2 linked regions of the Bombyx mori genome follow. The protein of the gene in region 1 binds, or shares a complex with, the protein of each later gene. Links are inferred from orthologs where the notes say so. Each region holds a gene or a part of one and is shown in the gene's direction. Other genes may lie near its edges. The genes, in order: translation initiation factor eIF-2B subunit epsilon and translation initiation factor eIF-2B subunit delta.

Region 1 (13,387 bases):
ATTGAAACATTTCAATTTACTTACTCTTCATAGGTAATAATACCCACAGAACCATCGGCCGCACCATAGAAACATTTAATTTCTGCAACTTGAGCAACAGGCGGTGTCGCTAATCGAGAGGGACCAGAAGATATAGCTATGTGAGCTACCAGATGTCCATTCTCTAATATGCCCGCGCCTTTATGTGCAATCAAAAGAAGCAGTCGCACCTTAGCATTCTGTCAACACAGTAAAAACTAATTCTATAAAGTGAGTTTTCAATACTTATTATCTAATTCAGTTATTCAATATTACCTATATCAACCTCACCCTCAAAGTTTAAATGTCAATTATTACCTATGGTTTTACGGCCCAAATGTGCAAGACGGTTTATTTTACAAGAATGATACAGGTTTTAAACTACATTTAGAATTCAATTAATGTTACTCTTATGTATTTTTTCTACAAATAACACGGTCTTCGGGAAAATTAGAAAAATAAATTGAAGTTAATATTTGAATTAAATTATGAAACTGCCTTTGCTGCATTGTAACATATTTTAATACTAGCGACCCGCCCTCGCTTCGCTTCGGAAGCTGTAATTTATTATTGATTTCTCCACTATTTAATGAATGTTATTATACATATAAACCTTCCCCTTCAATCACTCTATCTATTAAAAAAAACCGCATCAAAATCTGTTGCGTAGTTTCAAAGATTTAAGCATACATAGGGACAGACAGATATAGAGACAGAGAAAGCGACTTTGTTTTATACTATTTACTATGTAGTGATAAGTAGAAATAATACAAACATTCGGTGCAATAAAGGCTGCCATATCCAAAACTCTATCTTTACAAACATATGACTGATGTTCCTTCGAATCACGATAAAATGTGATGGTCCGTCCACTGCATAGTATTAGATCACCACCGAAAACACACCTAGAAACATACAAACTGGGCATTCATGGGACTTATTTAGGATCGTACGCTTTTATTATTCAATTGTTTTTTTTTGTTTAATCCTGAATTACTTACATAGACGTCACAGGCTCCGACAATGCTGTCTCAATAGAGAAGAATACTTTGCCTTTTTTGGTGTAACCTTTAACCTCATTACCCGATGCTGCAAATATTTTGTCTGGTTGCGTACCTAAAAGATAAGATTTTTACTTACGCATTTATCATGTGTTGAATAATGTACCTTAATAGAAACCAACCGAATGGTATTCTTAGTTTCATTAATGGTAGTAGTAGTAGGGGAGACCGGGGCAAGATGAAGTTCGGGGCAGGACGGGAAGTAAGCTTGTATCCATGAATGGTAATCGTGTTCGGACCGGTAACGGCGCCATTTGCACGAAATTCAGATTGCGCAAATGCGTCCGAGCTGAGCGAACGTGTTGGATCTCGTTTTTGCGTTGTATAGGAAAAAAACTGATTTTGCAAGTGTTTTTATCCGGTTTTTGGTTAAGAAACTCATGTGCAGACATGTAAGTGCTTGAATTAATATAATGTTTTAATCCTCAGCGTGTTTTAGTACTATAACACTCAGATTAGATTTTTGCGCCGGTAAGATTTAAGATTAGAATTGCTTTACCTTATTTGAATACATGTGTGTCGGGGCACAATGATCGGGGCATAACGGGATACTATCCCGTTTTGCCCCTTCCTCGTCGTTTAAATAATACCTTCTGTGTACCTACTTACCTATCGATAGTATTGCAACCTGGTTTTGCAACCGTCCATAGGCTACGGTAACCGCTTTCCATCGGGCGAACTGTAAGCTTCTTTGCCGACTTAGTGGTATAAAAAAAAGTATAAGTACATATTGTTGTAACTTCTAGATTAGCAAGATATATCGTTGCTTTTCTCATAAAGTTTTTTTCTCAGATACAATGGTTCGCAACTATAAACGAAAAACAGATCGTGGCAAATGGGACCCTGAAGTTCTGGGTCTTATGGGTTCTTAATACCAGGATGGGGCTTCCTCGAGCCTCTGCTATATATAATGTTCCGCCGCCGTGTAAGAAAAGCTTGCGATACTATGGATGACGAGACTGATTCCGGTAACGACTAAGTATGGGAAAAAGAATTTGTGACGATTCAAAGCTGTTTTTACAGCAAAACAAGAAGATGAGTTGGCGCAATGTGTGAATCTATGGAAGCACGGTTAACAGGAAAATAACTTCGTGTAATAGCTTATCAGTTAGCTCAGCGTTGGCAATCATATAGATAGCCCACTTAATGAAGAAACTGGCATGGCAGGAGAAGATTGGCCCAGAACCGACATCAGCCACAAGAGCTATGCATAGCATAGCCATGGAACGTATGTCCCACCCATGTACAATATACGCTCGGAAGCAGATGCGAGATGAACTTTTGGATGAACGGAAGCGGATGAAGACTGATGGACAGAAGACTAAAAAAGATAAAAAACGAATACATAAATTTAGAAATAAGAAAATAAAAAGGACTGAATACAAGCGTCAAGCTAAAAGACTCGCCAAAGAAATCGAATCGGAATATACTTAGTTCATCTTAAGAGGAGGACGGTGACTGCGCCTGCGTCTATTGTGGTTACTTATACTAAGAGTCAACCGAGGGTTGGGCTATCTGTAGTATTTGCACACGATTCCTGTGCCGGAGTAGATGAAGAAGACGACGAGGCACACATTTGTGAACGCTTTCTGCCCGATTAAAATACGTACTCCTTTTGCCCCGTAGCATTTCCTATCTGACCCCATCCATGGGGCAAGACGGGAAATTCGCCTCATTAGGTATCGTTAATCATTATTTGTCAAAAAAAATCTATGATTTTGCATGATAAAATTATTAATTTTAAGAGACAAATGTATAAGCGTTACTTGTTTTCGTAAAGAATTTAATTAAAGAGTATAATTGTCTTTGTACAGCGAGTTTTGTCTTAGCTATCTCATCTTGCCCCGGTCTCCCCTACTAACTTAATAATATCCTGTTTTTGTTGAGATAAATGTTTATGGTGAGGTAAAGGTCAATCGATTGGAAGTGATTTGTATTCTCACCCCGCAGGGTGGATTTTATTTCAGTGGGTATCCCGGGAGTACGGGTTGGTGGCGCCATATATGCAGGCTTCGAATACCCTGCCGACGGATAGACATGGTGTTTCGACGTCCCGTGGAGGCAAGGGGGTAGACAGATATACACTACGCGTAACTTGCCTTACTGCCACCCTGCGACGCCTCAGACGGGGGTCTGCAGGCAGCAGCAATTTAAGCAACATGGGTTTAAGTCGGTTTTACTCTAACGTGCCACTATCTATCACCTTCAACGCGTAAGCGGAACGCTGGCGACTTCCTATCTAACTCAAAAAACCGACATCAACTCCGTCAATGACAATTTTTTTTTGGGAAAGTTATGACGGGTTGATTTTAATTATGTGTGCATTTGAAAATATCGCTGAAGATATGGATCGAAACTACGCCGAGCAACCCTTCAGTGCGGGGTCCAGTAGGAGACTCGGCCTAAATAAAATGTAGGTGCTATTACCGTTTGTAGAAGTCAATTGTACGGCGGTAATTGGTTTGCCTGGCAATGTCTTAAATTGAATGACTGGTTCTTCGTCTCTTATGGTCAAACATTGCAGAACTCCGGTTTTATCCCCAACTACGACCTTTAAAGAAAGCATATCAGTAGAATTATGAAGTTAATTTTCAGAACTGTAGATAAGATCAAATCGTTTGTAAAATCGTTTTTATTTTGTTATATATTAATTTGACTGTCTGTCTCGGAAATTGTGAACTTAATATCTTAAATAAAAGGTATAACAATGTGTTTTTGCATTGCATACATTTTGACAAGATTTAAAATGAATTACCTAACACTTGGTAGGTATATACCAACTGTGTCTGACTGTCCTACTGTGTTTGACTGTGTCTGACTGTCGATTCTGCGATTCCCTTAGACGATATATATATCGTCTATGGACGTCAGAGGACAGTCTGTTGAGTTTTCGCTAATTTACAAGTTCACGAAATACCTACGTAATACTAAGAACTAGTAGAAGTTGTAAGTTAATACCTGCTTATTTACAATTAATGCTTAAATTCACTTTTAGTTTAGTAAATAAATATTGTATTCCGTTTACTTTAGGCTCAATAGCCTAAAGTCCGAAGTCCGAAGTCATTACCAATGTAATGACTTCGGTTTACATGAAATAAAGCATGATAATTGTTGCTTTTTTGTTTACGACGAAGGTCCCAAAAACCTTTTTGAACAAGTTATTAAAATAGTTTTCTCTAGATCCTCATATTTCACCGTCTTTCGCTTTTATTTGTGGGTACTTTCTAGGAATGGTGACTATTATCCGATAAAAATCTCCTCCTCTAAAGGAAAACGAGAACAGATTTCCTAACTCCTCGTCCTGGTAAGCCCGAAAAATCCTTCGGGTAATAACAGGTTTTCAAAAATAAGTTCGAATATTTTGTAATTTTGTAATTTTACTTTTGTATAATGTAATTTTGTCGGGTGTACAGGTTCTGCCGGTTTGACGCTTTGTAGTTTTTCATAAAACCAATATTTATATCGTTTGTTCTTTGTATTTAATGTACATATTTGTGTTTAATAAAAATTATAATTGGGAAGTGAGATATTTATGAGTGAACATTCCCCATCGATAGATATTTGATTGTTTTTTAATTATATGAATGAATCTAACAATATTCTAATAATAGAATTGGTTGATATTATATTAAATGCGATTCACATTATTAATTATTATTGTCTCAAGTTTTAAGTTGTATACTTAAAAACGTTAAGCGTTAAAGCAATTTGTGATAGGTAGGTACCTTCTGTTCCAGTTTCTGTCCTTGAGATGGTAAAATTTTTAGAGTGTCAGGATATGTGATTCCGCTTATAAAGTAGTCAATTCTGCACAAGTCGTAATCCATAACTCTATAATATATGATAATAATACCGGCAACGTCTTTTTCACTCTGCTGACATAAAATCTTTAACATAGAAGGAAATCGATAAAGCCTAGGCAACCAAACGTAAAACAACAGACCTCAAACTTGAACAAGAAATCAATAAAACTCCTGTGTGCTTAGTATTCATTTTTTGAGGTCAACAGAAAGCTTCTTGTTGAAGACTTCTGTGCACTGAACAACAGTGTGCGAATAGAGAGACCTCTGGGATACTTTTCTTTTGACTTGGTTGTAATCCTTTATTAGGTGAGCCTTATGCTCGTCTTTCAACGTTTTCGTCAATGTTCGCACGGGTACGTAAGGACAACGTAAAAGTCGTAAAACATTGCCGTTGCATTTGTCGATCCGGATGCTATTGGCGTCTTGTCTTTATAGACCAGGGTCGACAATTTTTAAAACCAAAAAAAATAATAATAGTATGGAACCCATTAGAAAAAGAGGGGAATATTATAAAAATGAAAGGAAAAATAATTTATATTTATAATAACTAACTTTTGGCCGATTTTCATGTATATTTCCATTATATTTCATATATTTCAAATACCTTTGATGGGTTAAAATTTTTCGTAGGTCACTCAGGTATATAAGTTATCTAAAAATAGTTATAAATAGGCATCTACGCATAAAAATTAAAAAAGATTCGACAATTTTCTCCAAATATTGTAGATGTCTTATTAAATATTAATTTTATGAACTTATTTGTTTGTTAATTACCTAGTCAGGTCATAAGTATTGTCACACAGTAAAAACTTTTCTTTTAGAATGCTGGCCACAAAAAAGTTTATTGAATTCGAATTTCGAATTGTTCATGAAAATAAAAATGTATACTTTTAGAATTTTACTCATTTTTAAATATGGAGTGGACGCTTAAAGAAGACCGTGTTGCAGTTATTGCGTTGCATCGTTGCGGTTACGCGCCAATTAAAATTTTTAACATACTGAAAAATTTGAATATAATCAAAAGATTCGTTTATCGTACCATCAAACGATACAATGAAGACTCTAGTGTAGATGACAGGTCAAGAAGTGGTCGCCCTCGGTCTGTTAGGACTCCAGCAGTGATAAAAGCTGTGAAGGCGCGAATTCAAAGAAATCCCAAACGTAAGCAGAAACTGGTGGCCCTTCAGATGGGGTTAAGCAGAACCACGGTGAAAAGGGTGTTAAATGAAGACTTAGGGCTTCGGGCATATCGAAGAAAAACAGGACATCGTTTGAATGCTCGTCTAATGGACCTGAGACTGAAGAGATGCCGCGCTTTGTTGAAGCGGTACGCGGGAAAAAAATATTTGGGAAATTCGTTTTCGGATGTAAAAATTTTTAGCGTAGAAGAGAGCTACAACAAACAAAATGATAAGGTATACGCACACAGTAGTGAAGAAGCGAGCAACCGTATTCCGCGTGTCCAGCGAGGTCATTTTCCATCCTCGCTCATGGTATGGTTGGGAGTTTCTTATTGGAGCTTAACAGAGGTACATTTTTGTGAGAAAGGTGTAAAAACGAATGCAGTTGTGTATCAAAATACAGTCCTGACGAACCTTGTGGAACCTGTTTCTCATACCATGTTCAATAACAGGCACTGGGTATTCCAACAAGATTCGGCGCCAGCTCATAGAGCGAAGAGCACACAAGACTGGCTGGCGGCGCGTGAAATCGACTTCATCCGGCACGAAGACTGGCCCTCCTCCAGTCCAGATTTGAATCCGTTAGATTACAAGATATGGCAACACTTGGAGGAAAAGGCGTGCTCAAAGCCTCATCCCAATTTGGAGGCACTCACAAGACATCCTTGATTAAGGTAGCCGCCGATATTGACATGGACCTCGTTCGTGCTGCGATAGACGACTGGCCGCGCAGATTGAAGGCCTGTATTCAAAATCACGGAGGTCATTTTGAATAAACTTTAGTGTCATAAGAATCTATGTTTTGTTAAGTTCATTTTGGTATATGAATGGTTACATAATGAATAAACTTGTTTCAATTATTTTACATTAAACATGTGACAGAATTTATGACCTGACTAGGTATAGTAGTATATTTTGATTTGCAATTTTTTTTTATCAATGTAACATGTAGTCTTATGTTTTTCGAGTTATTAAAGTGTAAATTTTAAAATTATAAATTGTATATAATAATAAAATAAAAAAATCGAATTCGAGTTTTTTCGATTTTTTGCATTGTCTGAGAAGATTTACTATAGTAAGATAGATTTTTTTCACCTTCGGAAAGTATGTAGCGATTTCGAACTTTTTGAAAATAGCTGATATTTTGACGGGTGAATTTTCGATTGAAAATTAGGGTGCTTTTTCGACATTAATTCAAAATAAGGTGAAAAGATTCATATTTGTAATGAAATAAATTACAGCGTATTTGGGACATGAAAAGGTAAGTTTTCACCAAATTTCGTGAAAAAAGATTTTTTTTTTAAAAAGATAAAAATAAAAAACCAAAAACTTGGTTTTTTGAATTTTTCACATAAATTTTGAGGATATGTGAAAAAAGTGTAAATACAAAAGTTTTAGATCTTTTTATTACCTACAACTTTGTGACTTTTTTCCATAAGACTTTTAGTTTTGCCGGAAATCGAGAAAAACCGTTTTTTATCCTACACGCTAGGGTAACGCTGATATAGCCTATCAGCATAGGTAGGAACAAAAAACTGTTTGCGTGTATCGACGCAAGTGTCTCCATTTCCTAACTGTATGGATTGTAAAACTGTGATACCTAGAAGGTAGTCTTGGAAGGTTGGCTATGTGAATTACTATAAGAATAGAAAAATATATTATGTGACGGTAGCAATCATGGATCACAAGATATTTGACAGATGCCTGAATCTCGCTAACGATGATGTCAAGATAACTTTGTAATTTAAACAAGCTCCAAACAACATAAACCAACATTAAAATAACCCTCGACCCTATACCGAGCAATTACACCCGTCACATTCTAAGAAAATAAGGGAGTTTGAGATATCGATAGTAGAATATTAGCTATGTCTCCGATACAGATCGGAGAGATAACTTTAATTATTAAGTGAATTAGTTATGAGGAAAACACAGTTTTAATAAAATTATTTAATTCTGTTCTCAGCGTAATAGTTCCCCGTGGCGAGTTGTAATTCTATACTGTCTGTACGATTGGACTGAATACACAGAACTAAAGGTCCTACAGAATGATTTTGGGGAACAAGTTCACAAGCGGGAACGATATTGCCCTAGCTTATTAATCATAATGCCTTTTCAATGCTACAAATTCTATTATAGCTAATGAATAAAGTAGATAGCGAACTTTTGTGAGCAGCATTTATGAAAATGCTCATTCTTGGGCTCAATGTAAAAAAGTTCAAAAATAAAGTGTCAGTAAGCTTTCGTTTTACACGGATACTATTTAATTCATCTCATATCACATTGATTCGTTTCCGATTAAATTCATTTTCTAGTACTTTCTAGATTACATGCATATATTGTTTAGTAAATGGAGATTTGTTTAAGCTGGAATAGCCATTTAAATTATCAGCGAATAGGTATGGAAAAAAAAGATATGTTTACAAGCTATAAATAATTTTAAAGAAAGCCGTGCATTCCAAGACAAATCCAATATCATATGTTCCAAAGTTAATCATCCATCCAAAATTTTTCATATCCATACGTACGCATTTTACGTATGCAATACGTACTTTATTACTCAGTAAGTACCTAATTATTATAATTGCCTATTAAAAATAATAAAATGATTTGTTTTATTATGTCTATATAATATTTCTTCAGGTTTAAATGTGTAATAACGTTGGTTTATTGACTGTTTAATATCTATGAAAGTGTACAAATGTGCAAAAATGAAACAAAGCCGCTGGACTTAACTTCTCGGGATCCTTCAAACAGTCCACTGAAAAAATCTCAGTAAATTACCACCATTTTACTGAGATTAATTCATCCCATATCATTTCATTTAATTTCATCCTAGTTGATTAATGTCTCAAATTAATCATTTTCTTTTCATTTCATAATATCATATTTCATAAAAAAAATATAATATAATAGATAAGGCTGTATGGTATGATACATTTGCCTTTCTATTTGAAAAAATAAAACTACTATTACTAACTTTCTATGTAGCAATAACCTATTTTCTATTTTCTAAAAAGTAGGAACTAGGAATTGATGAAAATGGAAATGGATAAAGAAAATATCGTACAAGCTGTTGTTATTATGGACACTTTTAACAGTAATTTTTCTCCATTAACAGACAATAAACCAATGGTATGTAACCTGTTTGAAATTTGTATATTTATCTGAAACCAAAATAATAACTGAATGGGACATATTACAGGGTTTTCTTGAAGTTGCAGGCGTGCCTCTAATAGATTATGTTCTAGAATCTCTTGCTTTGGGCGGAGTGGGAGAGGCAATTCTGTTTTGTTGTCAAAATGGACAAAAAATAAAAGAACATGTACAGTAAGTTTTTTTTAATAGTACTAGATAATTAAAAGAACTCATAATGTCAATGATGCCGCCCGTATTGAGTTATGAGGACGAAGTTCCAGTTATGTACAATTTAATCTCGTCACATAAAGATAGAAGCGAGAGTTTTGTGTACCATTATCCCATTTGGGCTTACAGTATGCTTTAACACAGGCAAATTTATACATCTTTGGTGGTTTCATTTTTTTACAAGATGTTATTCTGTCATTGTCGTAGTTATTCGTAAACATGTGTTTAGACATATTTCTATAGTAACATTGGTACTTGTCTGTCTGATTTGAACATTGGCAAAGTGAATCTTTTGGTAAGAGTACACAGGGTGTTTCATCCTGTGTATGACTACATTTTTGCTTAAAAATTAAGCATCATTATTACATACATTGACTGTCAATCCATTTTATGTAGTGTATATTCAATCTGGCAGTGGTGTTCCTGTATTATATGTAATAACATATATACTACATATTATGTTATATGTTACATATAATTCAGGATTGCAGATATGAAGCTAATATCTGAAGTGTTTTAAAAAAAAAGGGCTTGCTGAATGTGGAGTTTAACCTAAAATAGCTTAGACAGTCAACTTATTAAGCTTAATAAAAACTTGTGCTTTGAGTGGTCAAATCATTGTTATCATGAACTTATTTTTTATATAGATTCGTAGCTGACTAAGATTTCTATCTTCCCACCCATCTACCTATATTTTCTGTAATCAGATACTAAAATTTATCTATACTTCAGGAAACATCAAGATAACAAGTCTCTGTGGAGTCTTACTATGGATATCCAGATTTTGATGTCAGATACTTGTCAGACCATGGGTGATGTGATGAGAGAGTTAGATGCTGCTGCTTTGCTGAAAGGATATTTTGTGCTAGCTGGTATCAATAGCATTACTAATATGAATTTTGCAAGTCTTCTGGAACAACATAAGTTTGTACAAGCTTCACATATTTTTCTAAATTATAGAACATGCTGACAGATGGAATTTGCATATGAATTAATAAATTTATTGATCTTTAAAAGCATATCATAAATACCGTCAATCAATGAAAAGCTAAATTAAATTTTGTTCAAAATTCACCAATTATAATATTTTACTCAATTACTTTGACAGATATGATACTTTTCATAATAGCCATATATGTTTAAAATCACTGCTTTTTCATGGAAAAAGAGGCAGATTATTTATTGTCTCTCAATCTCTACCAAAAACTTGAAATTCATTATAACTCATAGCTTTTAATAGCAGATTATCAAAGTATAAACCTCTTTTATTCTTTTTACCATAGACAAACATGTAAAAAAGACAAAGGGACAGCGATGACTTTGGTTTATAAGAAACTTTCTTGGGAACACCCATTGATAAGCTCAGACAGGTCAACTTTTTTGGCCGCTAACGAGAATACAAAGAAAGTGTTAGTGCACAAGAGATATAGACCTAAGTCCAAGGAGAAGATAATATCTCTTCCTTTGGTATGTAACCTTTTACAAGTACTCTTATTAGACGTTTTTTCTTTGGTTTCCTGTAGTCTTACACCGGTCACTCACATGCGCACGAATACGCAAACCCGCAAGTGTAGGACGACATTTGCAAATGATTATGCAAAGTTTTCGCTACATTCATGGTTTTCCAAGCTGTGTCGGTTTTTTAACAGACATCAAAGCGCGCGAACCGCGAACCTTCGCGTAGTCGTTTGACCAGTTGCGCCGACGATTGCGAAGGTAACGGACGTATCGCCATTTTCATAGTTCGTGACGTCTACTGTGTAGCGTATCTTCATCAAAAGAAATCCCATAAAAACAGCATGGCTGTTAATGATGTCTGGGAAAGAATTCAAAACTCTTTTTCTCTTCAATGTTCTATTGACGAATTAAAAAGGAGGAGAAATTCGTGAGACATTCGTAAACAAATGTAGGAGGAAGCGAAACGGGTTCGCAAATTGAGTATGCGAACCCATTTGCACAGCCGCTAGGTTTGCGAATGAATGTTTGACGGCCCTTCACATGCGCGCAAATTAGAGGTGGCTAATATAACCATTAACCAATAAATTTACCGGTAAAAAAAATTAACACTTCTATTCGATAAATAAAATTACCCAAAACGGTTAAAAATACCGTTTTACAAAAACACTGCGTGTAGTGGCATAGGCAATTATTGGAAATTATATTTATACAAGTTTCAACTTTATTTCAACACGTAAGATTCATTTTCGCCTTGCAGATGTTTTCAACTTATCATGTAAAAAATATTGAATTTTATGATTTCATTGTATGCTCTATACCCCTCAAAATAAAGCACAATATTTAAGTTGGTGTATTTTACAGTTAATGATAATTTTTTTCGTTAAAAAATTGAAATGAAACGATATTTTTACCGAACGCGAAGATGACGCGATTGGTTGATTTTTTAAACGTAATATTTTGTTTGGTACTTGACATTTTGGCGGCTCAGTGCATCTTTTCTATTATTTTGGTAAAGTTGTGTTTTTGTATTTTAAGAGATTTGTACTTTGTGTTTGTGTGTTTTGACTTTGTTTTTGTGTGTTTGAGACTTTGCTTACTTTGTTGTTGTGGATTTTTAAAGTGTATATCTAATTTAAAATGCCGAAACGCAATGCAGAAATATGGGATCATTTCGGAAAGTGCTTGGGAGCGGAAAAAATTGCAATGTGTAATTATTGTAAGAAAAATCAATTCAAAAATATTGAACCAGCGCACCGCCGTGGTGGAAAATTTGTAAAGAGTTTTTCCCACTAATCATTTCGTACTAATTAGTTAAGCTAATTAGCCCTAAGCCTGTAGCTTCTAAAGTTCACTGAATCGAAAATAAATGTAAGAAACTCTACCATTCAAGTTTAACATTAGCAAAATTAGTTTTTCAACGAAAAGATTTACCGGTATTTTCAACCAATAAAAATATCGGTAATTTTTTTTATCAATTACCAGTTAACAGATAAATAAATTCAACCATTAACGCCATCTCTAGCGCAAATAGTCCGAGAGCTGATTTAGCCCCGCTACTCACCAGCCAGGTCTGCAATTCGGTGTTGGAATATAATAGGAGAGGTATGTGACAAGTTTTCAGCTTGCCTCAAATACCTACCCAAAAATTGGTGCCAGCTCTCCTACTAAAACATTCGTACAATGTACGAATATTTGCGCGCATGTCAGTGGCCGGCATTAGATATGAAGTTGAGCTTACAATATTTATTTTATTATTTCTGATGTTTCAAGTATATTAGTTGTCATGATCACAGATGTTTTTTTTTAGTTATTTGGATTCACTTTAACCTGTAAAGCAAGTTTTAAAAAAGAATTGCCTGAAGTTCTTCAGGCCAATTTTGTTGCCTCAAACTAAAACCAACCATGGTGGGCTATACCCTGGGGTTCCTACATTATATGATGTATATTAAGGGAATTAGTTTAATAACATTGTGGTATCTCTATGATAGCTTTGTAATTAGACCACATGAACTGAGCAAGATCCTAAGGTCTATTAAGTGAAGCACACCTCTGCAGAGTTCTCATGTCCATAAACTGGATTGTGATGGTGAGCTCTCATTTATAGGACAGACTAAGAGACATTTAGTTAGAGTTATGGACCATGTCAAAAATAATTTAATATAAAAAAACTGTGATTTGTCAACATTCTCTGGACAATGGTGCCAACCATTTTATAAGATTTAACAAAATCCAAATATTCTCTATATAAAACATGATGATCCGCAGTATAGTAGATAAGGCCATTGAAATAACAAAAAAAATAACACCTGGGATTTTATTATTATGAAAAAATAACAAAAATCACATATACAGCCAAACCTCAAGACACTGTTAGTACCTTCTATGTACAAAATAATGTGAAGGTTGTTCAATAATTTTATTAAATTGTTTTTAGTTAGGCATATTCGTGAAAGTTAATCTTTAGCACTGAGTCACACAAAGGCCTGTTAATTTCATGCCA
Region 2 (12,160 bases), on another chromosome or scaffold:
TTGATATGGTAGGTAGATGCTGAAAATTATCTGGTTCAACCTGAGAAACCTTTCACTGCAACTCAAAGGAGAAGAATTAGAAGAAATAGATTAAGATTTGCCAAAACAGACTGTGTAGATATCCTTTGTACGATAAATAAAATACAAAACAAAACAAAAAATAATCCTGAACAAGGACATATAGCAGTAATTGAAAATAATAAACAAGAATACAAAGTAGAGGATGCCCTCCGCTCAGTAGTCATAAAAGATTTTGACGAAAGTATATTACAAAAGATGTCTTCTAATGAAATCCCACCAAAGTCTAGAGATGAAATTAAAGCTGCTCGACAGGCAAAAAAAGCTGCCAAACTAAAAGTAAACAACAAGACCACTGAAAATCCTCAACTGACAAAAGAAATAGAGAATCTTAATGAAAACAACATAAATTCTAAACCTAAAGTAGAAAGCACAGATGAAGTAGACAAATCTGTTGTAATAAATCCTAATGCTGTAGATATAAGTACTAGTAGAGAACAGATCAAAGCAGATAGAGCTGCCAAGAAATCTGCCAAACAGTTAAAGAAAAAAGGAGCTGCCGATGGTGAAAGTAATGTGCAAAGCTCTGTAAAAAAAGAACTTAAAGAAGATGATTCTGTGAAACAAAATGAAGATATGACTGTAAAAGATGTTGTTGAAACTTTAAAAAACATAGTTAGTGTTGCCAAGGAGGTTAATGAAATTACGACAAAAGTAAGTGCCTTGGATTTGGGAGGTAAAAAGGTAATTATGTGGATGAAATAGTCATCCTTTTTCGATATTAAACTACATTAACATTGCTTCTAAATTCCTTGAATGACATTCCCAATGAAATTGAAATTATATTTGATGTAAGCTTATTTAGAACAAGAGGCTTAAAATTTGTTTACCATACTTGAATAACAAAATACAACAATAAAATTTATAACAGATATATAAACTCCATATTATGTTGCACTATATAAACTCAGAGTAACTGTGATAATATATTGTCTTTTGAATATTCGTTTAATAGATATAGTTTCGAAAACAGTGTTGACATTACTAACAATATTGATATTGTAGCAAGAAGAGACAGGCAAGAGTAAAGCAGAACTTCGGGCTGAACGACGCGCCAAACAGGAGGCTCAGAGAGCTGCCAAACAAGCTGCCGAAAAAAAAGTAGTCAAGCCTAAACTTGAAGCTCCTACAGTAAATGTGGATGTTCCGAAGAAAGAGGTAATTTTGAGACTTTTAAATTGCCTTTAACACCTAAACTGCTTTTTAGGACACTAAATCGAATAGCGGAGATTGAACTTAATGCAATGTCCATTCTTATAGTTCACTATCCCAGACATCACATTTTGTAAGCTAAATGAGGGTAGTTTGAAATTATAGATAGATACATAATCAGGACTTTTTGGCCAAAACACCAGGAGTGAAGTTGTATGATTTGTTTTATTTTGTCTATTTAGTGTTTCTTCAGGTCTAAATGTGTAATAACGGTGGTTTATTAACTGTTTAGTATGTGTGAATGTGCACAAATGTGGGAAAATCAAACAAAGCTACTGAACGTAACTTCTCGGGATCCACTGAAAAAGTCTCATTAAATTACCACCATTTTACAGAGATTATAATAATATTTCATCCCATATCATCTCATTTCATTTCAACGCATATTATCATTTTTCATAAAAATAAGAATATAAATTAAGATAAGACTTGGCCTAAAGGTCTTAGATACCAGGTCATAAAATACACAATCAGTACCACTAGCTCATTCACATTATGTTAATAGTTGGTGAATTTTGTTTTATAGCATAAATTAGTAAACAAGCTTACAGCTCACTTGGCTGGTTGAGTGGTGATTAAAGCTGATAGAGATGGGAAAGGAATGCCACCAGTCACCTTAGGTCCTAAGGTTTAGGATGTGAGGTCAAAATAACAATTGTTTTCTAGAATGGCTGTCCACCCTTCAAACCAAAAAGCATGATTGCCTGAATAGATTCTAAATGGCCAATAGGTTCATCATGCAGCATAATATTCTCATTAATTAAAATCCATTTGTTCTTCATCTCAGGTCAGTTCCGAATTCTCTAACTGTGTTATATATACACTTCATAATTATATTTCTTAAAATACAGACGGCCTAGTGTAGACTCTATTGACAATGTTATGTTCAAGTATTATTATTGTAAATTGTGAAATTTCAATATACCTAGTCTTGCCATAAATATTGAGACCAAGGAAAAAAAAATCTATTGCAAAAAACATTTATTACTTTTACAGTGTGTTAGTTTAATACATAAATATAAAACAGTTTAAAGTATAAAAAGCTTATTCGAAGTGGTCTCCATTGGCTGCAATACAGTCCTTTAAACGTTGAGGCCAGTTATCAATAGAAGCACGCACTCTTTCCATGGGAAAAATTTTCACTGCCAATCGTACGGATTGTTTAAGGGACTCCAAATTATCATGGCGTTTAGAACAAGCCGTACTCTAAAACTGACCATAAATCATAATCCAGCGGATTAAGATCGGGACTAGACGACGGCCAGTCTTCAGCTCTGATGAAGTCCGAAACGTTCGTTTCCAACCAAGACTGCGCAGACCGAGGTTTATGACCTGGCGCCGAGTCTTGCTGGAAGGATCATTCTTGATTATTGAACATGGTGTTGTTAAGGGGCTTCACTATCTTTTGCTTTCGGACAGGATTTCTTCGAATTCTTACTGCTTTGACCACCTTTTTCGTACGAACACTACGTGGACGGCCAGATCTTTTTCTGTCACAAACAGAAGAGCTCTCATTGCACCTATTAATAGCCCGGTACACAAACATTTTACTAATACCCAAGCATATGCAGAGTTTTAAAAATTGCATTTGGCTTCATACCTACTTTGTGTAATGCAATCACAGCGATTCGGTTCTCTTTATCTCCCCACTCCATTTTAATATAGCAAAATATTGTACAATGTATTGGCGCCAAAATGAGAAATCTCAATGAGCAATCATATAAAAATGACAGATTCCAAATTAAAATGTAATATTTTGTTTATTTTTAATTGTAACAGTATTTATGGCCAGACTATTTAGATTATAAAACAACATTGCAGATACGAGCAAGGCTATCAATGTGGTGCTTACGATTTTTTTTTATTACAGGAAAAAGTTATTAAATCAAAAACCTTGGAGAAGTCGAAAACAAAGTTGCAGCTCGCACAGCGCTTCAACTGGTTTCAGCATCTTTACACTGAGTTTGACAAGAATCCTTTGAAGAAGATACCCATTAATTCCAAGTAAGTGCTGTAAGTAAATGGATATCTGTGGGATGTAAGTTCAACTGCCTCGCTACGTTTTGGCAGTGATGATCACCATATCATCATCATTGCAGTTTGCTGTTTTAATATTTCTTTATTGAAATAATAGGCAGCCGAGCCTGTGGCCTTCGCATGGTGAGTGGTTACCATCGTTCATAGATGTGAGCGACACCACGTACCACAGCGAAGCTTTTGTCTACAGCTGAGTAGGCTCCACATTTGAGCTTCGTCTTGAGTGTAGGTGAGCTCACGGGGCTCAAACTGGGACTGTTGCTAACACTGGCCCTAGCAAGGGCAGAGCTTCGCAGAATCTACCACCGGATTGGAAACGCGACCCACTGAGAAGATCCGGCGAGAAACTCAGTGGGCTGTGTCTATGGGTGAATTTACTCGTCGAGTCCTTTATTGCAAGCGTAGGGTGCGGCGAGGACGGTGACCGGTAGGCTCCATAAACCTTGTTTAATGAAAGACAAGCCATAACAGACAACAACAAGCCACAAATACTAAGTGCATATAGCAAAGGTGCTGAGTCCGAGCAGGAATCGAACTCGGACTCTGCAGCGCAACAGTCAGGGCATCTCATCACTAGGACAAACGATGCGATGGAATAAACAAAACAATCCACTTTAAATTGTTTTAGGTCAACTGATATGAATTGTCCGGTTAATTGTCATCTATTCTCTTGAAACAAGTTGCTTCTCAATAAATCGGAACGTTCGAGAACGATTGTTATATGACCATTTTATTTAGATAAAAAAATACATGTGTCCTTAAAATGGAAAAAAAAATCTTTTACATATACCTACGCAATGTGCCAGATAGATGTTTACATCGCGTGATGTTATTTGGGATCAAAATAAGTAACCGAACCATACCATATACAATAACGACCAGCCAAATATGACATTTTGGGAGGTTTGACGACAAAGGGAAAATCTTCCACCGAGCGGGCGACATTGCTCGGTAGACCGACAGCCCAAATGTTTATGTTCGGAACTTGTATAGATGCAAGCTGCCTTCGCTGTAATAAAAAAAAATTATAAATAAAAATTTAAGGTGACTTTCAAGGTATCCTTAACTTACAGCCTACACCCCGCCATCGTGAAACTTGGAGTCCAGTTGTCGTCGCGAGTGGTGAAGGGATCGAACGCCAGATGCATCGCTCTGCTGGACGCCCTCAACAAAGTATGTATCTTGATGTAATGCTAAATCGCAATTCGTGGACATTCTTGAAAATACGTTTTTGTTGAAGACTTTTTGGCGGAAACGTGAGGAGTGAAGTTGTGTGATTTGTTTTATTTTGTCTATTTAGTGTTTCTTCAGGTTTAAATGTGTAATAATGGTGGTTTATTAACTGTTTAATATCTGTGAAAGTGCACAAATGTGGGAAAATCAAACAAAGCCGCTGGATGTAACTTCTCAGGATCCTCCAAAAAGTCCACTGAAAAATCTCGGTAAATGACCACCATTTTACTGATATTATATTTCATCCCATATCATCTCATTTCATTTAATGTCATCCCAGTTGATTAATGTCTCAAATTAATCATCTTCATTTCATTTCACTCCATATTATCATTTTTCATAAAATTAAGAATATAAATTAAAATAAGACATGACTTGAAGGTCTTAGTTACTAGGTCATAAAATCCCTTAAAAAAATACGTTTTTGTAGTTTACGCCCTGTACGCATAGACATCAGAGGGTGAATGCTGTAACACACCTCCGGACGTGAGGTCCCGGTGGTAGAACTGCCGGCTCACTCATCAAACCGGACCGCACGACTGCCTCGCGACAGGGTGAATGCTGTGACCCACCTCCGGACGTGAGGTCTCGGTGGTAGAACGACCGTCTCGCTTTTCAAATCGGAACGCACGACTGCCTTATCACAGAAACAGGCAGAACAGTGGCACTTAACCCGCGGGCTTACAATCCAAAAAAACGTTCACTATTCAATTACACTATAAATTAAATGAAAGTGCAAATCAAAACTCTATTTAACACTTAGAACACTTAACGAACACTTTAAAATTCTCAATTCACTTCTTCCGCTTCGCTTCAGGTGATTCGTTCGCTATTTCGCTTAGTTCGCAAGTAGATTCGATTACTAACTGCCATCCCTGCAGCGCTTTTATAGTCGATGCAATATCCCTAGGTTTATCGAGATTATTCTGGGCGAGTCGAATATACGATGTGTATTTCCACTATCACACAATAGATGGCGTTGTATTTCTCGAGAGTTCTCAATGTTACTAGTTCCTTTGATATTCGTTTCTGCTATTCGGCGATAGATGGCGTTAATAATGCCGACGTAACAGTATGTTAATACTTTAGGTTGAATTCTAAGCATGTAACTAAAAAAATAATAGTTTAAAAAAACAAAAAATATACGCTTTTATTTCATATTTATTAAGATTTATTGTCTATTTTTTAGTGGGATTTTCTATAAAAGCGGTTTTTTTTAAGTTTTTTTAAACTATTATTTATTTTTTAGTTGGATTTAAATTTTTTCTATATTTTTTTTATTGAATTGTCATCGGTCCTTAATAACTATACCAAATTTCGTTTCGAGTTAATCCGACATTTTGAAGGGGGTCAAAATCATGTTCAAAGATTCCGTTACAAACAGACATACCTCTGAAGCTAATAAAAGCGTATCTTTATTAGGCAAGGCAAGGGGATCTAAGCCCATACAGCCTTGTCAGTTCTATCCCATCATCTACAACGTAAATGCGCCACCCACCTTGAGTATAAGTTCTAGTATAGTTACAACGGTTACTCAACCCTTTAAACCAATGACAAGAGCTACAAGAGCATCTTTGATTTATCCCGTGCAGATGGTGAGGGACTACGTTCTGCCAGCGAAGACTGAGTTCTCCCGCGGCCTGGAGTCGCACCTGGCCTCCAGCCTGGAGTTCCTGTGGACGACGCGCGAGCCCTGCGCCTCGCAGATCAACGCCGTCAAGTTCTTCCGGCACCACCTCGCGCAGCTACCCAACAACGTCGACGAGTTCGATGTGAGTACTCGGAGAACGGTATATCGGATGCAGGTAGGAGGAGGTGCACGGATTAAAACAAGCAGATTAGTGAGAGCAAAGCGATGCTTGAGCGTGGCGTGCGTGCAGTTTTGGCGCGTGCGGTTACGTAGGAATTTTCGAGAGGCAGCGGTTTGGCTCTGCCCCTGGCATTGCTGAAGTCCATGGGCGACGGTCACCACTCACCAACAGGTGGACCGTATGCTCGTCTGCCTACAAGGGCAGTTTTTTACTGGTGGTAGGACCTCTTGCGAGTCCGTGCGGGTGGGTACCACCACCCTGTCTATTTCTGTCGTGAAGCAGTAACGCGTTTCGGTTTGAAGGGTGGGGCAGCCGTTGTAACTATATTTGCATTTACGTTGTGGATGTCTATGGGCTCCAGTAACCACTTAACACCAGGTGGGCTGTGAGCTCGTCCACCCATCTAAGCAATAAAAAAAAAACTTAAATTCAAAATGTTGTTCTAACCAACAAATACTGAAGTTTTCTAAGATGATTAGATAAGCTGTTGTGAAATAGCTACTGACAAAAGCATAGCGCGCCAATTTTAATATAGCAAGTTCGAACTGTTACTTATTTTTTTCAATTATCAATTTCAACTTATTTACCAACAATTCACATACTTATAACATATCTATTTTAATTCTACAGGCCAAAAAAACCCTTCAAGAAGAGATCGATCGCTACATCAGAGAACAGATCGAAATGGCGGGAGAAGCGATCAGCATCGCCGTTAGAAACAAGATCTCCAATGGCGACACTATACTCACTTATGGATGGTCTGTATTACGGGTGTAATGGCGTTAGAATATATATAATACTAGCTGACCCGGCAGACTTCGTAGTGCCTCAATCGTTAAATAAAAGATAAATAGAAGATTTGTCTACCTTTTAAACAATCTCTGGACTTCCACAAATAATTCAAGACCAAAACTAGCTAAATTGGTCCAGCCGTTCTCGAGTTTTAGCGAGACTAACGAACAGCAACTTATTTTTATATATATATACTAGCTGACCCGGAAAATGTTGTTTTGTCATATAATTTATTTCTAGGAAAGATAAATAACCTAGGTACCGATTGCAGCGCCACCTGCGGGGCTGATTTGCCACCCAAACGAATATAAAAAAGGGTGCGTGTACTTATGTACGCGCGTAAGAAGTTATACTTTTTTTTTTTTTTTTAAATATTAAATAATTAATAATCAATATTTAACGTTAATAATTTAATAATATTTAGTATGAATTATATTAAATAATAATTTTGTCATTTATATTACTAAAAAATGAACGCTAATAACACTTTTTTACGAGTGTATATGCGCGAAAGTTCACCTGCGGCTATATTCAGACTCGCCAAGTTACGTCGGTCGTATTGTAATGAGCGATTTAGTGGGCAACTTCATTCTGTTAATTTTGTGTCACGGTGCGCGCTCATCCGAAAAATTTCACTCATCAATTTTTCATAACGTGCCTAAAGAAGTATAACTTCAAAAATATTCATTCAAATTGGTCCAGCCGTTTATGAGGAGTTCAGTGACGATGTTATTCCTTCACCGTGGAAGTTAATCGTGAACATTTGTTAAGTACGTATTTCATTAGAAAAGTTGGTACCCGCCTGCGGGATTCGAGCACCGGTGCATCGTTCGATACGAATGCACCGGACGTCTTATCCTTTAGTCCGCGACGACTACAACTCGACGTTCGTTCCCCAGCTCGTCGCTGATCGAGCAGATACTGTGCGAGGCGTGGGAGGCGGGGCTGCAGTTCCGCACGCTGGTGGTGGGCTCGCGCGTGTCCCCCGACGCCGCGGAGATGCTGCGGCGGCTGTGCGCGCGCGGCCTGCCCTGCACCTACGTAGACTTCACCGCCGTCAACTATGTCATGAAGACCGTGAGTCTTACTCCCTCATGCTCATACCAAAATACCTTTTTTTTCCTACCTAATCTGATAGATAGCCTTGAGAGGCTATATCAGCGTAACCTTGACTAGTAAGTGAGCTCACGGGGCTTAAACCGTAGTGATGCTAACACTGACCCTAGCAAGGGCAATGCTTCGCAGAATCTACCACTGGATTGGAAACGCGAGCCACTGAGAAGATCCGGCGAGAAACTCAGTGGGCTGTGTCTGTAGGTTAATTTACTGGGAGAGGGGAACGATGACCGGGCAAAATACCGAGGATGTGGTGCTTCAACGTTAAATCGGACACTATAATAATAGAGCTAAACATCCAAAAAAATACTCTCTGCCATCTGCCAAGAACGTGTTAAGAGCTTCTTCGGGCACATCATGCGGTCTCCCAGACATGAATTAGAGAAGCTCATTATTTTGGGTCGCATAGAAAGCAAGCGCGACATGGACAGAACACCAGCCAGATGGTCAAATCTGATAAATTTTTTAAGGGATTTTATGACCTGGTAACTAAGACCTTTAAGTCGTGTCTTATTTTAATTTATATTCATATTTTTATGAAAAATGATTATATGGAGTGAAATGAAATGAAGATGATTAATTGAGACATTAATCAACTGGGATAAAATAAAATGAAAAGAGATGAGGTGATATGGTATGAAATATAAACTTAGTAAAATGGTGATCATTTACTGAGATTTTTTCAGTGAAGTGTTTTGGAGGGTCACGAGAAGTTACATCCAGCGGCTTTGTTTCATTTTCCCACATTTGTGCACTTTCACAGATATTAAACAGTTAATAAACCACCGTTATTACAACATTTAAACCTGAAGAAACACTAAATAGTAATATGTTTCTATTTAAATGGTGGGGCAGTCGTTGTAACTATATTGAGATCTTAGAACTTATATCTCAAGGTGGGTGGCGCATTTACATTGTAGATGTCTATGAGTTTTTTTAATTTATTACCCTTGTAGGCAGACGAGCACACGGCCCACCTGATGGTGAGTGGTTACCGTCGCCTATAGACTTCAGCAATGCCAGGGGTAGAGCCGAGCCGCTGCCCACCGTAAGTTCCTAATAACTACTTAAAGCCAGGTGAACTGCGAGCTCGTCTACCCATCTAAGCAATAATATATATATAAGTATGTTAATATATCTGATGGTGTGTCGGTGTGCAGGTGAGCAAGGTGGTGCTGGGCGCGGGCGCGCTGCTGGCCAACGGCGCGGTGGTGAGCGCGGCGGGCACGGCGGGCGTGGCGCTGGCGGCGCGCGCTCGCAACCGCCCCGTGCTCGTCGCCTGCCACACGCACAAGTTCATCGACAGCCTCTACACCGACGCCTTCATGCACAACCAGATAGGTAGACACCGTGTCTGTGCACGCTTTTTTTTTACCTATTCTAGTAACCTCGAGGGGTTATTCTAGACTAGCGATGAGACATACTTGCAAAATTGAATACCAGTGCTTCTAAATTTAAAAATATGTACTTGAAAGTATACGTACTGCTTGAGACGCCCCGGTGTTCCAATTTGAAATTTACTTGCATAGGAATTCAACCCGTATTTCATGACGAATAAGGAACAAAATCGTATAAATAAAAAAAATACCTTGAAGTTAAAGTATTATTTTATTCTTAATAAGATGTGAATCATTTTCCTGTGCTATATTTTTTTTCTGTGAGTGTTCAAGTTTTTTGAGTTCAGCACATGACATAATAATATACTTTCATACTTCAAGTATTTTTTGCTGGTACGAGGGTATCGCCATATTATCCCCTCATGCCATCGGCTCATGTACTAAAAAAAACTTAGATAATTTTCCTTTGTGTTCACCTCGAGGTCGTAAACGCGATTAAACCGTTAATTATATTTTTATTATTTATACATATTTGTATTTACTAAATAATAATGTAGAAATTATAAGTAATAATCCTAATTTGTTTTTATTATCAGGAGACCCCGACGATCTTCTGGAAAAATCGGATGATAATTCACCACTAAAAGATTGGAGATCGAATTTAAACTTAACACCACTGAACCTGACTTATGACGTCACACCTCCGTGCCTCATCACCGCCGTCGTCACAGAACTTGCCATATTGCCTTGCACCAGCGCTCCCGTTGTACTCAGATTTAAACTCTCCGAATATGGTGTATAAAGTTCTAAATCAATCGTTTATTATTAATAGTATTTATATATTTGCCAATATTTTTATTATTGTCATCTATTACTACTTAATTATCGCATGTGAAGCAGATCTCCATAAGTAGTATCGTGTTATCACCTAGAAAGGTTAATTTTATTTTAGTAAAAAAACTAAACAAGTCAGACTTATAAAATGTCACTATATATTATTTAGCAAAAAAGAAAACTTGATGCTCAAAATATGTAATTGTGTAGTAAGCTGATATCCACCATAATGAATTAAAATTACTCACTTTGAAACAAATTTATATCTACATTTGCTTGATATAGTCTTCTTCTTATTTAGGTATAAATAAGTGAATTTTAAATATATATTTTATTAGTTAATATGTATGGTTTATTTTCGCTTGAAATATGAAGCTCGGAACTATCTTAAAATCTAAGTAAATTAAGAATCTTTTATACGACTTTATAGCGGCGTGCACGTGAGCAGTGCACCTAAATATAAATTTATTGGACAGATTCTTCAATATTTTTTTTCCTTGCTGTTCTAGTAACCTCGGGGGGTTATTCTAGATTCGCCGAGCTTGTAGGTGAGCTCACGGGGCTCAAACCTGACGACGTTGCTAACACGAACCCTAGCAAAAGCAGTGCTTCGCAGAATCTACCACCGGATCGGAAACGCGACCCACTCAGAACATCCGGCGAGAAACTCAGTGGGCTGTGTCTGAGGGTTAATTTACTCGCCGAGCCCTTCGTCGCAAGTGACGGGTTCGATGAGAATGATAAGCGGTGCTTGTGGTACCAAAAAGCACCGTTAGTGGATCGGGAGGATCCGGATTACGTGTTTTGGGCGACGTCGACTGTTTACCATTTGGTCCGCAGAATCGCCTATGTAGTTCCCGGCGGCCACGATGTGAGGATTCTCGTGTCGTACCGCTTTATCGAAGTGGATTCTTCTAATGGGAAACAATATTCATTTTTGAAGTCGTTGTGGCCTAACGGATAAGACGTCCGGTGCATTCGTGTTGAGCGATGCACCGGGGTTCGAATCTCAGGCGGGTACCAATTTTTCTAATGAAATACGTACTCAACAAATGTTTAATACACAATAAAATGGTGCATGCATTTTCAATGCAAAAGTTCAAACGGGTCATTTGACCCGTTAGGGTTTGTTTGGTGCTAAAACATCACTAGGTTAATGCGAGCTAATGCACCAATATTTCGATATGAGGACTTCGATAATCTGACAGATATGTAAGTTGAAAATTATAGAACCGGTAATCTCTTTATTGAAAAAGAATAACAAATTTATTTACAACTACTATTTAATAATAATAATTACAAAAGTTTTAAAGGTATTTGGGAGCTCTAAGTAAAAAGGAATTCAGTATATATTTTAAACCTACTACTATATTGTAGTTTTCTGGAATTTTGCGTCATTTTAGCGATTGCTTTGATAGTAGTAAGTAAATGAAGCAGACAGAAAACTCCAGAATGGTTTTCCAATTGGGCTGAATTGATTCTAGTTCTAGGTAGATTCTAATTCAATACACTGTGATATTACAGAATTGAAATTCCAATGTGTATATTTTATTAGAGTAAGTATGCAAGGGAGATGAATACCCACATAACCCTGAACCCTTAGTCTTGTATACTCACACTGAATATACTACCTGGTAGTAGTGACTACTAACATTGACATACTAAGTGAAGTCAGTTGCGTTATTTGAAACAGGCATGTTCTGAAATACT

The links.
Region 2: the proteins of translation initiation factor eIF-2B subunit epsilon (region 1) and translation initiation factor eIF-2B subunit delta are in contact, whole or in part, in a cryo-EM structure (PDB 7D46), measured with the Homo sapiens proteins. The link is inferred for Bombyx mori from reciprocal best matches to the Homo sapiens genes EIF2B5 and EIF2B4. Residues at the interface, in NP_003898.2 of Homo sapiens: Arg163, Lys294, Arg339, His340, Glu357; in NP_001029288.1 of Homo sapiens: Arg357, Tyr393, Pro396, Glu397, Lys466, Arg467, Glu469.

Annotation. Positions count from the first base shown.
Region 1 is NC_085119.1:8,977,651-8,991,037, reverse strand, and holds the start of translation initiation factor eIF-2B subunit epsilon, read left to right. Parts: upstream 1-7,176; 5' UTR 7,177-7,324; intron 7,325-8,029; 5' UTR 8,030-8,294; intron 8,295-9,006; exon of another isoform or gene 9,007-9,083; 5' UTR 9,084-9,099; coding exon 9,100-9,198; intron 9,199-9,268; coding exon 9,269-9,393; intron 9,394-10,161; coding exon 10,162-10,353; intron 10,354-10,712; coding exon 10,713-10,896; intron 10,897-11,051; exon of another isoform or gene 11,052-11,809; coding exon of another isoform or gene 11,810-12,103; intron 12,104-13,387. Other genes in the region: Bardet-Biedl syndrome 7 protein homolog, read right to left, coding at 25-218, 794-938, 1,020-1,134, 3,507-3,630, 4,805-4,906. UniProt on the Homo sapiens protein: Acts as a component of the translation initiation factor 2B (eIF2B) complex, which catalyzes the exchange of GDP for GTP on eukaryotic initiation factor 2 (eIF2) gamma subunit.
Region 2 is NC_085111.1:2,895,048-2,907,207, reverse strand, and holds the end of translation initiation factor eIF-2B subunit delta, read left to right. Parts: intron 1-12; coding exon 13-762; intron 763-1,083; coding exon 1,084-1,236; intron 1,237-3,160; coding exon 3,161-3,294; intron 3,295-4,400; coding exon 4,401-4,500; intron 4,501-6,152; coding exon 6,153-6,332; intron 6,333-7,001; coding exon 7,002-7,129; intron 7,130-8,062; coding exon 8,063-8,240; intron 8,241-9,439; coding exon 9,440-9,620; intron 9,621-10,212; coding exon 10,213-10,418; 3' UTR 10,419-10,792; downstream 10,793-12,160. UniProt on the Homo sapiens protein: Acts as a component of the translation initiation factor 2B (eIF2B) complex, which catalyzes the exchange of GDP for GTP on eukaryotic initiation factor 2 (eIF2) gamma subunit.